4 linked regions of the Rattus norvegicus genome follow. The protein of the gene in region 4 purifies or fractionates together with the protein of the main gene of each other region. This does not show direct contact. Links are inferred from orthologs where the notes say so. Each region holds a gene or a part of one and is shown on either strand. Other genes may lie near its edges. The genes, in order: Ect2, Racgap1, Arf6 and Kif23.

Region 1 (4,168 bases), on a different chromosome or scaffold from region 4:
ATGCCAGACACACCCAAGCTTAAACTGCAAACACACTCCCGTTGGCAATTTCAAGGCTGATTTTTTTCCCTCTTTCTTCCGCTCTAATGGCTAATTCTAGAGACTGTCAGGCCATAGATAATGTTAAGCAGAAAACAAAACAAAACAAAAACAACCAACCAGACAAAGACTGTAGACTGTTTTACTCATTCTATGAACTCGCCATACACTTGTCAAGCTCCTAAGGTTGTCAAGAAGTTCTTTTTGTTTTTAAAGTAGATCTTGGGCTGGTGGGTTGGCTCAGTGGTTAAAAGCACTTCTTACTCTCACAGAGGACCTGGGTTTAATTCCCAGCATCCACATGGTGGTTCATAATCCTCTAATTTCAGTCCCTGGGAATGGATCTGGCCTCCTCCTTACCTCCAAGCACTCACAAGATGCACACACACACACACATCCAGGGAAAATAATACAGACACATATAATTAATAAATCTAAATTTAAAAGGTGGTTTTAAAACCTCTTATTGAGGTTTGGGGCGTAGCAACAGATCCAACCACTTGGTAGGGTTCGGTTTTGAAAGTAAAAAAATAACTGTTTTGAGACAGGGTCTCCTGTGCAGACCAGGCAGATCTTGTTCTCCACTTCCAGCGCCATCCTCCTTAGTAAGTGGGGTCACAGGATTTGAAACCACACCCAGCTAGAAGTGTATGTTTAAGAGATTGTATTATAGAACATTACATCTAGAAACAATTTTCAGAATAGAAATATCGAAAAAAAAAACCTGATCATTTCTTTTCTAGACTTCAAAGGTCACTAACATTCTTATGCTGGGGATTGGAGGTGGGGCCTGGGGAGAAGGAGCAAGCCACCCAGAAGCAATTTTGCATCAGGGGATTCTAAAATCTCCTTACACTTTTTTTTTTTTAGTTACTTAGATGCAAGCTTGTCTCCAAATATAAAATCTGGGAAGTGGTAAGAGCCGAATGGTTTGCGGTGCTTGTTACTTTTCTTGAAGTTGGAGGTGATGGTAGAGACTGAGCCTCGGGAAACTGGCTGTTTACTGAGTAAACAAGCGGTCACCACAGAAACACCTGCTACGTCTAGAGGCGCTCCGAGGCCACGCCCCCCTCTCGCCCACATCCGGGCATTTCGCTGACGTCCACACGCTCCAGCCGTTTAGCTTATTTGAAACACACGCATAGCCAATCAGCCGGCGCCTCCTGGAGGCGGTCGTTGAGATTGACCAATAAGCAGTCCGCCAGAGACTCCAGCCTATCAAAAGGAGGTTGACAAAGCGCGCCAATCAGCATGGCTCTGAGAGAGAGCGTCTGGGTTTTTTGAATCGGAGGCGGTAGCCTCCTTCGAGCCATGGCGGCCCCAGTGAGGAGACTCAGTGTTTGAGAAGGTTAAGCGAGGACTGCGCCGCAGTGGTTCATTTTTCTTTTTTTTAAAATATCTGAACGTGGTGAGGACTGCGGGGTGAGTGGGGGACGGGAAGGGATTCGAGTGCCCGGAACTGCACCGGCCGTGGGGACCAAGGCCGGCGTCCCCGCCGCGGTGAGCCCCCACGGCTGCGTACCTGTCTGTACCGCTCCCTTTCATCCTCTTCCCTCACATCCGCCTCCTTTCCTGTCGTCTGTTCTGGCCCCGGTTTTTCCTTGCGGGAATCTGGGTTCTATTCTGCTTCTGTCAGGCGCCCCAGGGTGAAGGGCGCAGTTGGGACAGCGATTTTGGCTTCCTGCTTGCCCTTCCGCCCGCTCGCTGCAGCCCAGAGCTGCCCTGATTGTTTTGTGGTTTCCCTCTGGAATTCCTGCAGAATTCCGATTTTCGATTTTTTTAAAATATAAAACACAGGCCGCTCCGCCCCTTCCTGGCCACAGATGTGTGTGGTTAGTGGTTAACTTAGCGCCCTCAGAGTTAGACCCGGCTTGGAGTCTCTGTGTGAACAACTTTCTTAGCCACAAACTGGATATGGCAATGATATTTGTCTTTTAGGATGGCTGCAAAGGTTAAATAATGGTAAGGGGGAGATTTAAGATAGTGGCTGTAAAATAGTGAGCTTTAAGTAAATGAAATCGCTAATTAACACCATTATCAACGTATTCAAAACTATTGTAGTTTTGTCTCTTTACTCTGGATGACTTTTTTATGGAAAAAAAGTTTATTTAAAAGAAAAGCTAAAAATGACTTTATTTAAAAGAATCCATGTGTTGTGAGACAGGGTCTTAGGTATTCCAGAATAGGCTTGAATTGTGGAGCCAATGGTGACATAAAACTCCACCTGCCTCTACCTCCTCCCCGATGTACTTTCACCTTGCTTGGTTTTGAGGTGCCCGAGGATGACCTCATGCATGCTACGCTGAGGCACATTCCAAGACAAAGATGTGTTCTTTTTATGATCAGATTGTTGTGTTTATTTTTAAAAAGCCTCTAGAATGTGTGAAAAGGAAGAAACTGGTGCATTTCAGTTTGCAGTGATGTTGGGTGCTAGATGTATCATTAGTGTGCCCTGTAGCTCTTTTGCTGTATATTTTGAAAATAGATAATAATATGCATTTTCACTGTTTTGGTGCATAGTGAGAAAGGGTTTAGTTGTGTACTCCTGCCTGTTGTGTGGGTGCTGGAACTTTAGGCTTGTGCCACTAGGCAACACATTATCAGTCAACTGGCAATTTTAAAGAGGGTCATGTAAGCTGAAGTATTGTTGAAAGTGCATTGTAAAGCTCTGGCACGTAGTTTACACATAAGTATAGACTCTTATTTTGACTTTTTTTTGGTGGGGGGCGGTCTGGGAGATTGAACTCTGAATCTTTCCAGGCTTTACCACTAAACTCCACCTCCAGCCCTAGTCTATTTTAGTACATTTATACCCCTGTAATGCTTAGGTCAAGGTCATGCCCATATCACTGTAAGCATTTATCCTTTTACTGGAGATGTTCAAAGTCCTTTCTACTAACCTTTAAGTTAGGAATTGGAGTTTCTTAGGTGACGTTTTAGTCTAGATTAAGCAGTGTTCTACTGACCATTTCATTAATTATTTTTGGCTTTTTTGAGACGAAGTTTCATGTGACTCCTCCAGCTCCTGTGGTCCTTTTGATTTGTTAAAATCTCTGATCCTATCTTGGCTTTGTGAACATTTAATCCCAATTCTCAGGAGTGTTGGCACAGGAGGATTGACCATGAGTTTCCTAGCAGCTTGGAGTGCAGAATGAAATCAGGCCAGCAAGGATTTCGAGATCCTGTCTCAAAGGAACATGGGTCAATCAAATCAAATTCCCCTCCAGTCCTTAAAGCTGAGCAGCTCACCCTTTCTCCCTTTTTCCTTCTCCTCACCAGCCTCTTGTAAAATTAATTACTTAACTTTTTAAAAAAGATTTATTTACTTATTATATATAAGTACACTGTAGCTGTTTTCAGACACACCAGAAGAGGTCATTGGATTCCATTACAGATGGTTGTGAGCCACCATGTGGTTGTTGGGAATTGTACTGAGGACCTCTGGAAGTGCAGTCAGTGCTCTTAACTGCTGAGCGTCTCTCCAGCCCTTAATTAACTTTTAAAATTAATTTACATCTCAACCACAATATCCCTCCTTCCTCTTCTCCCAGGCCTTCTCCCACCCTATCCACTCCTCCCTTTCTCTTCTGAAAAGCGGAGGCCTCCCATGGATATCAACTGACCAAATCAAGTTGTAGCAAGACTAGACAACTAGAGGAAAGGTTCTCAAAGGCAGCAGCAGTCAGATAGCCCATGATTCCCCTATCCCCCTTTTTGAACCAGGGTCTTATTCTGAGTTTTGGGGTAAAAGGTGTGTACCGTACTGGACTCACTCTCTTATTCTGTAACACAGACTGGCCTCTAATTCACAGTAATCCTCTTGCCTTAAGGCCTTCTTAGATGATGTTTACTACCATGTTTAGCTTTTTCCTTTTTTTAAAAAAAAATTTTTTTTTAAAGATGTGTTTATTTATAATACATTGTAGCTGTCTTCAAACCCACCAGAAGAGGGCATCAGATCTCATTACAGATGGTTGTGAGCCATCATGTGGGTGCTGGGATTTGAACTCAGGACCTCTGGAAGGACAGTCAGTGCTCTTAACCACTGAGCCATCTCTCCAGCCCTGGCTTTTTCCTTTTTTTCTTTTTCTTTTTAAAAATCGTATTTGTTTCCTTTAAAAAACATGCA
Region 2 (4,295 bases), on a different chromosome or scaffold from region 4:
AAAAGATAAGGTAACTCCCACGGGGTGGGGAGTGGGGTGGAAGGGGAGCTAGTGTTTATAGCAAAACCACAGAGACAGGCAGCATAGACTCCTTTGAAGAAAGCAGTTAAAAAAAAAATTCAAGCTGCCCAAAGGACAGATAAAACTTAGTCAGATGGAGGTGAGGGAAGGGGCTGGAAGAGTGTCTGGGGCAGATGGGACTGCAAGAGTAAAGCTCTGGATGCTAGGTGTCACTTGGTGCACTTCAGGACCTGTAAACAAGATGGAGGGCAGTTAGGGAGCAGGGAAGCACAGGTTAGGGGAGCCATTAAGGACCCCATCTTTTTTTTAAGGAGGGGAGGTGAAGTGATTAATGGTTTTCAGCAAGGAAAAGCCACGGTTAGAGCTGCTTTTTTGTTTGTTTGTTTGTTTGTTTGGTCTGGAGCTAAAGTAGCAGAGGCTGGTCTTGATCTCTCAGCCTCCACTCCTTAAGTGCTGGCGATTATGGGTGTGTGCCACCACACCCACACAGAACTGCCTTTTAAAATACCAACTGTTGTAAAGAGCTCAAGGGCACAGCTCCCCTGGTGGTTTGAGAACTGAGGCAGACTAGGCTGGCCTTGAGTTTACAGACATCTGCCTGCCTCTGCTGTGCTGGGCTTAAAGGCATATGCCTGGCTCACCCTTTCTAGTAAGCTCTAGCCAGCCAGTATTTTGTCAAATTGCAGGTAGCCACACCTTCCAGTAATTAGTAAATTCAGGAAGGAAGGGACTCCAACACAGAGAAATAACAACAACAACAAAAGAACAGAAACATCGGGAGTACACTAATAGATTAAGATGAATGGTTGTATATTGAGTGCATTTCTGATGTTGGGCCCAGATCTTTAAAAGTTTCAAAGCCTCTGTACCAATACAATGCCAAATTTTAAGTGCCATTTATTAAATGGAATTATAACACTTCATTCTGCACTTCTATTTGTTTTCTTGAGCTGTCTCACCCATTCATAGCTACTGGAAAGCAGAGACCACATGATCTGTATTTTTTTCTGATCTCTAGCAGAGTGCTTGCTATGAAGTTGGCATACTTACTGTGCATCAAATAGAAGTCTGAATGGATGCGTGAGTGAATGGGGGGGATAATTATAGCTCAGTAAATATGGTTAAAATGATTGTTGCTCTGTCTCCTTCTGGAATTCTTCCTATTCTACAGTGAGACCCGAAACTATTCGGTTATTAGTTTCCAAGAGTCCTATTTGTCTGCCTGGGGAAACATGGAGGCAAGAATAATATGCAATTAGTCAACAGGTCATTAGAATAATTGCAAGAAAGGGAGCCGTAGCCGGAGCCTGGAGCGGGAGTCCTACACAGGCCATGAAACACCCACTACTCCCGCAAAAGTGTGCCCACAGTCAAAATGGCCGTCTTTCGGCGTCTCGCTAATGTAATGCGCACGCTCTTCCCGTTTTGCGCCCGCCCCCTGGCCCTAACACGTGCGTCGCCCAGAGCATGATCTCCTCTGTGATTGGCTGCTGCGCGATTTTGAACCGGATCCGGCGGCGCGGTTTTACACTGCCGTTAGTGAGGCGCGCAGCTGGTGGACAGCAGCCCTCCTGGGGCGCGGCGGCCGGAGAGTAAGCGCCGCGGGCCGAACAGGGTTGCGTGTGCGCGGGGCCGGGAGCCTCGGTAAGCGGGTCGAGGCCGCGAGCGGGCGGCGGAGGGAGGAGGGGGGCATCTGGAGGGGTCTGCTCTCGGCGTGGGGCTGCGCGTTAAGTCGGGAGCGTCCTTTTGAGGCGTGGCCCGACGGGTGCGGGTGTGGTTCCCTCAAGGTGGTCTTGGCGAACTCTAGTGCGGGACGTGGGAGTGGCCGGGAGCGAGCCCCTCTCACCCTTTTCCGAGGAGCAGTCTCTTCTGCGGGAGAAGTCAGGTGTTTGAGGAACCTGGCGGCCTACAGTGGAGAGCCTCTACCTTCTTGGCTGTCTCCCACAAGGCTAATTAGAACATCCCTATATGTGGAGAGCTAGAATGCTGCAAATGCGGAGCCTATCTTTTTCAGCCCTCCTTTTAATAATAATTTATCACCTATTTCTGCCACTGACCTAGCTACCGTTCTGCGATTAGCATGGGAAACCCTTTGGGGGTGTATTACTTTATATTAACAGCCTCCACCCACAGAAAAGCTACGACTGTAATCTGGCAAGCCTCGGAAACCTTCTTGAAGCGCCCACCAAAGTTTTTTTAAGCGTTCCTTGATTTATGACTGTTCTTAACTATAAAACTTAATGAGAATGATTATATCAGAACATGGTATTTATTTAGGTAACCTGGATTCATGGTCACGAGCCAGGGTCACTTATATTTGGCTCAGGAAGGAACACTCATTTCTCTTGGGATGAGAACTTTGTTTTTGTGCCTCAGAAAGAGAGGGAGGGAGAGAGAGGGAGAGACGGACTGCAGTACTCCCAATAGTGTATTGGAGGGTTATTGGAGTTACTGTTCTATCACACTCTGTGTGTGTGTGTGTGTGTGTGTGTGTGTGTGTGAGAGAGAGAGAGAGAGAGAGAGACAGACAGACAGACACACACACACACACACACACACACACACACACACACGGTGTCTTATGTAGCCCAGGTTGGTCTGAGACACACACACACACACACACACACACACACACACACACACACACACACACACGGTGTCTTATGTAGCCCAGGTTGGCCTCTTGTATCCAAGGATAACCCCGAACCTCTGATCCGCCTGTCCCTGGAGTGTTGGGATTACAGGACAATTTGGAGATGACACGTGTGATCCACCATTCTCAGTATTTGCTGTGTTGAGGACAGAAACCAGGGGCTTGTCACTCTAGGCAGGCATGGTGTCAGCTAAGGTATAGGCCAGCACAATGGTACATTTAAGTTCAAGTAAGATTCTTCTACTAACCCTTAAGAAACTGTTGACTGCACATCAGGCTGCTGGGGTGCAGTAAAGATGGGGACTCTTGTGCTGTTAGACCTCAGTGCTGTCTGCTGACCAGCTTAGCTTCTGGGTTGATGAAAGGTAGTTATTTTTTGGTTTGTCTTTTTTTTTTTCCCCCCTGGAACTCAGAGATCTGCCTGTCTCTATGTCTCCCAAGCTTTGGGATTAAAGATGTCTGCCACCATTCCCCTTGGTAAAAGGTAATTAATTCAGGCCAAAATTTCATCTGATAGCAGCAAGGAGGTGGCTGGTGCATTAGTGGGGTAAAGAGATGACTGAGATAGTTTGGCTGCAGATCTAACTCTCCACAAATACACAATAAATCCCTCCCACCCACCCAGCTGAGGACCCAGTGCTAGGCAAGCTCTCTACCACTGAGCTAAATCCCCAACCTGCCTTATAGAATTCTTAACATTGGCTTTTTTCCCCTGGCTTTTTTCAGTTGACAAAAATTTCTACTCAATATAATAGCCTTGCTATATTATTTTGGCTGGCTTCTGTGTGAGGGTGTCAGATCCCCTGGGGATGGAGCTACAGACAGTTGTGAGCTGCCATGCCAGTGCTGGGAATTGAACTCAAGTCCTCTGAAACAGCAGCCAGTGCCCTTAACCACTGAGTCATCTCTTCGGCCCCCCTCCCCGCCAATATAAGGTTTTTATACCGTGCTACATTAATCAAAAACCTGTCGTTGCAAGGACTCACCTTTGAACCTGAGGAAGAAAACTGGCCATGAGGAGGCTCACTCAGTGAGTGTCAGGTCACCTACCAAGCATTGGTAGTGGGCAGTGTTCTAGATACCAGTGGCTCTGCTAAGTCCTTGCTTTCCAGACAGTAAGTAAACATGTTAGGTGGAGACAAGCACTCTGGAGCAGAATAAACCAGGAGTTACAGAAAAGGCTGAATTTAAAAGTGTGGCTGGTGGAGACTTCATTGAGAAGTAAATTCCCAGGGGTCAGGGAGAAGGGGACGGAATGGGATGGGTGACTGCCCATGCTAGAGACTTCTGGCAGAGGGTAACTGAAAAACTGAATCCAAAGAGAACGAGTAGACCAATGGTAGCCCATCGACTCTGTGATGCTTGCTCAGTGCAAACAAGATGCTAACAATCAAAAACTGTGTGCCCCGAGCGAGAGTGTGGTGGGCACAGGGCTGGATGAGGGGGATGAGGTTTGTGTTTTGAGGCAGTGTTTTATGTCTGCCTAAGTTGAAGTCATTAGGAAAAGGCTTCAGTGACTGCTAAGGCAGACTCTGGGTAGGCCTCACAGGAGACAGCAGCAGTGTGCCGAACTTACCTGTCACATCCAGTTCTCCTTCACTCTGGCCTTGACTCTTATTGA
Region 3 (2,916 bases), on a different chromosome or scaffold from region 4:
AAGTATTTGAAAATAAAAACAAAACTCAAATAGTTTCCTTATGGTGCGTGGAGATCTGAAGTCAATTTGAGGGAGTTGGTTCTCTCCTTCCACCATACGGGTTCTGGGGACTGAACACGGGTCCGCCCTCTCGGCGGCAGGCTTCACGCACACAGCCATCTCGTCGGTCCTGAAAGTCTATTTCCTAAGAAGTGCGGGTGGTTCAGACTTACAAAGAGGACAAGTTTAAACTTTCACAGGCAGGGCTTAGGGGCAAACCCAACACGAGTAAAAGTGCGGGCGACTTTGGCGGATTCTATGGAACACTGGCCTCCCACGTGTCTTTCAGGAAACAGAAGGAAGTCGGGAGGCGTCGGAGTAAAAAGGAGACCCGGGTGCGGAAGGCTGGGGCGAGCGGGAGGAACTTTGCGCAGGGTGTCCGGGAGCAAACCTGGGAAGCCTGGGTGGGGGCGTTGAACACCCAGTGGATTTTTGCCCCGCCTTCCAGTGGCGGAGAAGGGAAAACAGCGGAGACCCTGGGAGAGCGACAGGTGGGCGTACGGCCAGCCCCGCTCCAGCAGGTTCCGCAAGGCGTCCGCGTGAGCCCCCCGAGCCGCCGTAGCCCCACCCCCGGCGCGTGGCGCTCGTGACGCTAGGCGCGCGGGCCACTCTCCTTTCAGAGGTCGCGCTCTTCCGAACGGTCGGGCTGAGGTGCGCGTGCGCAGTCGGGAGGGGAAGTGAGGCGGTTTCCTCGGCGCCTTTTCCGGCAGCGGCGGCAGCAGAACTGGGGAGGAGGAGGTGGAGGCCGGAGGGAACCCGCGCTTGGGGCGGCGGCTGGAGGTAATCTCAAGGGCCGAGCCCGAAAGGCGGGCCGGGTCGGTCTCAGCACCGTCGGAGTCCCGGCGGTAACTCCCTTCTCCCTCTCTGTGTCTCTGCAGGTAGCACCGAGTTCCCGCGAGGATCCATGACCTGACGGGGCGCAGAGCCGCGCTCTTCGTCGGGTGACCAGGGTTGGTGCGGAGCCCGGTGCTCGCAGGCCGGCGGGAGGGCCGCAGTTTGACCTGCCGCGTGCTGAGGCGGCGGAGGAGCTGTCGGCGGCGCTCGCGCGGCGCCTGCGGGGGGAAGGGCAGTTCCGGGCCGGCCGCGCCTCGCCTCAGCAGGGCGGCGGCTCTCCCGGCGCAGACGCAGGGCCCCGGCGGCGGGCGATGCCCGAGTGAGCGCAGGCCGGGCCCCTGCCCCTAGCAGGCAGCTTCGCGCAAGCCGGGCCGCAGGGCGTCCTCGCGGCGGGGCGGCTACTTTTCGGGCTCGCAGCGGCGGCGGCGTTGTAGGCTGAGGGGACCCGGGACACCTGAATGCCCCCGGCCCCGGCTCTTCCGACGCGATGGGGAAGGTGCTATCCAAGATCTTCGGGAACAAGGAAATGCGGATCCTCATGCTGGGCCTGGACGCAGCCGGCAAGACAACGATCCTGTACAAGTTGAAGCTGGGCCAGTCTGTGACCACCATTCCCACGGTGGGTTTCAACGTGGAGACGGTGACTTACAAAAACGTCAAGTTCAACGTGTGGGATGTGGGCGGCCAGGACAAGATCCGGCCGCTCTGGCGGCATTACTACACCGGGACCCAGGGTCTGATCTTCGTGGTAGACTGCGCCGACCGCGACCGCATCGATGAGGCCCGCCAGGAGCTGCACCGCATTATCAATGACCGGGAGATGAGGGACGCCATAATCCTCATCTTCGCCAACAAGCAGGACCTGCCTGATGCCATGAAACCCCATGAGATCCAGGAGAAACTGGGCCTGACCCGGATTCGGGACAGGAACTGGTATGTGCAGCCCTCCTGTGCCACCTCCGGGGACGGACTCTATGAGGGGCTCACATGGTTAACCTCTAACTACAAATCCTAATGAGCGCCCTCCACCCAGCCCCCGGAAGGAGAGAAATCAAAAACCCATTCATAGGATTATCGCCACCATCATCACCTCTTTCAATTGCCACTCTCTTTTTTGAAACTGAACTCGAGTTACTGTTCTACCGTTTAGTGGGGTTGGGGGTTTTCTTTGTTCCCCTTACCCCCCCTCTTCTATTTCCTTTCGGCTTTGCGTTAGGATGCTCTGATCTGACATTTGACACGAATACAGTGCTATATGCTCTTGTGACTTCCAGCAAACGGGGTGGGGTAATAGCAACTCTTGGTAAAGTCCTTTATAATAATGGTTTTGATTTTTTTTTTTTATTTCGAGAGAATCTCCCCCCATGTATGCCTTTTTCCTTTTTGCCCAGTTTCTTATCACTTGCTGTAGATGGCTTATTTTGCATTCATGCAGACTATGTTCCAAGTCTGTTTCATCTAGTAAACTGAAAATTATTGCTTAATCAAACTGCCGTTTGTCTTTTATATTTAAGGCCTTCCCTCCCTTCCTTGTTAGCTCTAACTTTAGCAGTTTCAAATGTGACCTTTTATAGCCAAGACCAGTATGGTGAACTTAGCCCATAGTGGCAAAATGAGTAATACCAGTGTAATGTTCAGTTGCACACCAGTGTGTCAGATAGGTAATGTAAGGAATCCCTTGAAGTCAGCCATTAACGTGCATGAGTAGGAGTAAGGCTCAAGTCCCCTTTGCCATAGCTAACTTTACCGACTAAAACAAGCAGAGCCTGTAAAGGGTACAGGTCCTTCTCCCTGCAAAGTTAGCAACTTTGCTGATTCCCTCTTATGGATAAAAATGCTCTTTCCAGAAAGTGGAGCAATAATGGTGTATGCCACACAGATGAAGTATTTGTAGATACTTTAAAGTGACTTTTGGGCAAAACTGGAACTGTCTTAAGACCAGTAGTTTTAAAATTACTAAACATTTACTTGGCTCACTAATAAAATATTTAAAAAGCCAAATTACATGCACCTTTAACCTAGCTGGAAAAAAAAACCCAACAC
Region 4 (4,356 bases):
TCCAAGCCAGCCTAGTCTATATAGAGTTTCAGGACAGCCAGGGCTACACAGTAAGACCCTGTCTCAAATAGACAGACAGACAGACAGACAGACAGAGAGAAACAGACAGAAAAGAAAAGAAAAAAAAGCCCCTAAAAGCAACCTGCTAATTCCAACATACCAAGAGTCTATCTGTATGCCCTAGAAATGAAAGATGAGGTGACTAAAGTATTCCTTCCCACAAATGAGATCACACATGAACTTTTTAAATTCAAAAACAGAAAACAACTTGGTTCCACTAAGAACCTACCTCCTTGTAGTCTCCATTTCTGTTGAGTCGATAGCCCTCAGGGGTGTGGAGCTGCACGGTTGTACTATTGACCACTTCCACACAGCACTCTTGGTCAGGAAAGCTCAGTGGGCGCACCCTACAGTACACCTGGGAAGAGAGAGTGTTCAAACCAGGTTGACTCTTCGCCTGTTTTGTTGTTGTTGTTGTTGTTGTTGTTTTGTTTTGTTTTTCTTTTCTGTTTGTTTTGCCTATTGAGACACAGGTTCTCAGTCTATAGCCCAAGCTGGGCTGGAGCTCTCAGCAGTCTGCCTGCTGGTCTCCAGGATGTCGGGGCTGCAGGCATGCTCCTCTGTGAATGTTTAGCACTCACTCACTTTCCATTTATGTTCTGTTCAGTCACCTACAAATATCTGATCTTCAGCACAAACAAATCCCAGAGTCACCAAAACCAAGATCTAGAGTTCAGAATGGTCAAATGCAAAGATTCATTAAATCAAATTAAACTTAGGTTAAAATATTAAACTGCTCATCTTTTCACTGGTGTGCACAAATAAAATTGTAATAACGTAAAAAATCTCTGAAAATAGCTGAAAAGGCCATTAAATTCTTTACAGCTGGATGCCATGTCAAATAGCCAGCTCAGGTGTGCATGGGAGCACACATCTGTAATCAAGCACCTGGAGGGTAGAGGAGCTCATGTGAGGAAAACCTGTCCAGCTGTGCTCACAGCAGATGGTGCAACTGGGAACCAGAGCCACTCTGCCCCAGCAGTGGGGTGGTGGTATCCAGAACTTCCCCTTTTCCAGGAAGAGGGATTACCTAAATTGAGTTATTCTACACTAGTCTCTCTGAACCTTGAGTATGGGGTTCTCCTTGAGAATGTGTCAGTTACCACATACAGGTGGGAGAGGGTTTAAGACCTGAGAAGAAAGTCCCCATCCCCACCCTATCCCAAAGAGTAGAACCTGGTGGGAGAGATCATTAACTTTTCAAATCTAATTAGTGATAGCAGATTTGCAGTCAACAACTAAAGAGTTCCTTTTTCCAGGCCAGTTAATCCTGTAGAGAAAGCAAACTTTCTAGCTAAAATCAGCTTTATACAACTTAGTGCTCGATTTAACTGTGCTCCTTAACCCAACTTTCATATCATTTTCCTCCCCTTTCAAGCACACACAAGGTAGGATGAACTAAAGAAAGAACAAACACACAAACACACGAACACACACACACCTTACCCCCACTGGATCTTTAAGGTTTGTCTGAGATCCTTTTTTTATTACAGGTTTCCTGGGCATCTTAGCCTTCCTGGTTAAAAAGAAAAAGAAAAAAAAAAAAAAGAAAAAAAAACCCCATAAATTTCAATTCACTACTAACATAGAAGACATCATGAATTCTAACAATGATGAACTTCTTAGGCTTTAAAAAAACATTTCCCAGCAGTACCAAAATACTGCACATCAAATAACATGAATATAAACAATAATAAGCTGTATTAGAGAAATGTGGCATATGTAATCTAACTCATTAAAATTGTGATTGGGAAAATATACTTTCGATACCAGAAGTATCCAGGGGAACTTTTTTTTGATTTCATTTTTTTTTTTTAATGTTGGAGAGCAAATTCAGAGATTTGCTCCTGCTGGGCAGGAAGAGTAGATTATTCACAATGCTGAAATCCCTTGCTATTTTAAGTAGACAATATAAAAAAGCATTTTGATTTACTTCAACATTCTCTATCATTTAACTTTTTTCTTTCTCATTTATAGGCTACAAGAATATGTAACACAAATTAAACCAAAAGATTCGTTCAGACTGTAGATTATTTAAGTATTTTTCTCAATAGAGTCACACGTAAAACAGAAGTAGACCAGAGTTGGGCGATATACTGGGGTAGATATCCTTAAATAAATATAAAGACTTTGACGATTCCTCATTTAAAAAGTTCCGGTTTTTTTGTGTGTGTGCGTGTGAAAGTAACGATTTCTAAAGCCAGCCCTCCTTTGCAGTAAAAGTGTAACCAGGATATGGCTCTCTGAAGTGTCTAGGAATTACAGAGGAATGTGGGCGTGGGCGAGATAGAGCAGACGAGTGGGATGGCCTGGGGACAAAGATAGCCCAAGGTAACTGAGCTGCAGAAGGACCCTGACCTCCAGGAACTAGGGAAGGGATGCCGACGGAGATATGGAGACTCAACCCCTCCAACGCGCACCCAGGCTGCGCGCTCCCCGGGGTCCCTAGACTTGCCACCTGCACAGCGGGCCGGGAGGAAGGAAGCTGGGGAAGGATGGTCAGCCCAAAGGATGGCAAGCCGAGGAGGTGGTGGCAGACAGCCCCGAATTCGGAGTCAGCCTTCGCGGGCTGAGAGGACTGTGCGGGCGCGGGCACACCGGGATCAGCAGCCACCAGAGCTCTGCGCAGAGTACGGAGCTCCGGCCTACACGTACCGACTCAGCTCCCAGGCAGCCCCCAGTCTCCGCGTGAGGAGGGCGGCAACCCCCGCCCAGTCCTCCCAATAGTCCCCTCCTGGTACTCACGCCGACTTCATGACCGCAGTCTCCGTGCTGTCCTGACGCGCGCGCGGGACGTCGGGCTCCGACCGGAGCAGGGCTGGCGGGAACTAAGCCGTGGAGGCTGCGGCCGCGGGGACCCGGACTCAATCTGAAGAGAGCCCGGCGGCGACGCTGCAAGCCCAAGTGTGCGCCCGCCCGGCGCATTTCAAACAGGCCAATCAGCGACCGCCTGCGGCGAAGAGGCGGGGCCTCGGGGAGCCTTGGCACCGCCAGCAGGGGCGCTCGTCTCCTTGGCAACCCAGGAAACTAGCAGGAGGCTGAGGAGGGTAGTGCTCGAGAGAAACCAAGAGGGGAAATCCCGGCCCTTCCGTTCTGACGCAGAAACTGAGGTCTCCCTGCCTTTGTCCAGAGAATCTCTAAGGAAGTCGTGATCGGGAATGTTCTACTATCAGGCTGGCCGGTTGACTTTCAGGCCACCACCTCGTCTTATTCATTTTACTGTATTTTATATTTTATTTTTACATTTAATTCTACGTTTACATTTTATTCTACATTTACATTTTACCTTACTTTTGATGTTTATTTTGAGACGAGGGTCTCTTGTAGTCCAGGCTGGCCTCAAACTTACAGTGTAGTTCCCCAGGATGTTCTTGAAGACTATACCAACTTGGCAGTCAACCTTTTGTAAGTTCCCTTCTCTGGGTTCTCTCTCTCTCTCTCTCTCTCTCTCTCTCTCTCTCTCTCTCTCTCTCTCTCTCTCTCTCCTGGTGCTGGGGATCAAACCTAAAGCCTCACAATGCTAGGTAAAAGTCACTAAGCTACACATCCTTAACCTTCAAATTCTTGATTTTGATGTTTCCTGGATATACAGAGGTGACTAAAATCTACCCACTGTCCTTGTACAACCACCAAAATCTACCTCTTGTCTTCCGCAAATTGATTCTGTCTTTCTTAATCCCTGACCCATGCTGAAGATCTCGAGGACGTATCCACCACACCTGCGTTCTGTGACTCAGGCTCCACTTAGAACTTCCTTTAGGGCCAGCACTAATAAGGATAGTTTAATATCCACAGTTTAATGTCCTTATTACTGGACAATAGTCTTTCCAATATTTACTGTCACAAAGTGCTACAATGAATAAACCTGAAAATGCATCCTTTTACATTTCCAGAAGCAGATAAAAAGCTAACAGTCTTTGCCACCACCACCTTTCAAAACTGCTCCATTTGACAGCACTCTCACCTATAAATCACCGGTCTTGAGACCCTCAGTGAGACCCTGAGGCTAGTCTTCCTTCTCCATTGTGTCACCTATCACCTGTCCAAAACCCAAAGCACGCGCTTGAAACGTATCTGCCCCCACACTGAGGTCTCTCTTCTGTCTCTCAGTCTTCCTTCCCTCTGTGAAAGCCTCACCTTCACTGGGTCCTGGAGCCCCTGCCTCGCTGGGCTGTTGATTTCAGCAGTCGGCACAGCCTGTTTACTGAGTCCTCTCCCAGCGTATTCCCCCTCAGCCTCGCTAGATGGCACTGTTGCGTGCTCAACGCTTAACAGTATGGCCATGGCCCCTCATCT

The links.
Region 1: the proteins of Kif23 (region 4) and Ect2 purify together in Homo sapiens (co-immunoprecipitation; 3 studies listed by BioGRID and IntAct, with this or other methods). This does not show direct contact. The link is inferred for Rattus norvegicus from reciprocal best matches to the Homo sapiens genes KIF23 and ECT2.
Region 2: the proteins of Kif23 (region 4) and Racgap1 purify together in Homo sapiens (co-immunoprecipitation; 10 studies listed by BioGRID and IntAct, counting the BioPlex papers as one, with this or other methods). This does not show direct contact. The link is inferred for Rattus norvegicus from reciprocal best matches to the Homo sapiens genes KIF23 and RACGAP1.
Region 3: the proteins of Kif23 (region 4) and Arf6 purify together in Homo sapiens (affinity purification with western blotting; 3 studies listed by BioGRID and IntAct, with this or other methods). This does not show direct contact. The link is inferred for Rattus norvegicus from reciprocal best matches to the Homo sapiens genes KIF23 and ARF6.

What each region holds. Positions count from the first base shown.
Region 1 is NC_086020.1:111,963,780-111,967,947, reverse strand, and holds the start of Ect2 (protein ECT2), read left to right. Parts: upstream 1-1,321; 5' UTR 1,322-1,447; exon of another isoform or gene 1,448-1,539; intron 1,540-1,580; exon of another isoform or gene 1,581-2,001; intron 2,002-4,168. UniProt on the Homo sapiens protein: Guanine nucleotide exchange factor (GEF) that catalyzes the exchange of GDP for GTP. Promotes guanine nucleotide exchange on the Rho family members of small GTPases, like RHOA, RHOC, RAC1 and CDC42.
Region 2 is NC_086025.1:132,656,932-132,661,226, reverse strand, and holds the start of Racgap1 (rac GTPase-activating protein 1), read left to right. Parts: upstream 1-1,488; 5' UTR 1,489-1,665; intron 1,666-4,295.
Region 3 is NC_086024.1:93,588,569-93,591,484, forward strand, and holds Arf6 (ADP-ribosylation factor 6), read left to right. Parts: upstream 1-1,208; 5' UTR 1,209-1,360; coding exon 1,361-1,888; 3' UTR 1,889-2,357; downstream 2,358-2,916. UniProt on the Homo sapiens protein: GTP-binding protein involved in protein trafficking that regulates endocytic recycling and cytoskeleton remodeling. GTP-bound form plays an important role in the transport of multiple palmitoylated proteins form the Golgi to the plasma membrane.
Region 4 is NC_086026.1:71,317,673-71,322,028, forward strand, and holds the start of Kif23 (kinesin-like protein KIF23), read right to left. Parts: upstream 2,817-4,356; coding exon 2,806-2,816; intron 1,577-2,805; coding exon 1,507-1,576; exon of another isoform or gene 1,502-1,506; intron 419-1,501; coding exon 290-418; intron 1-289.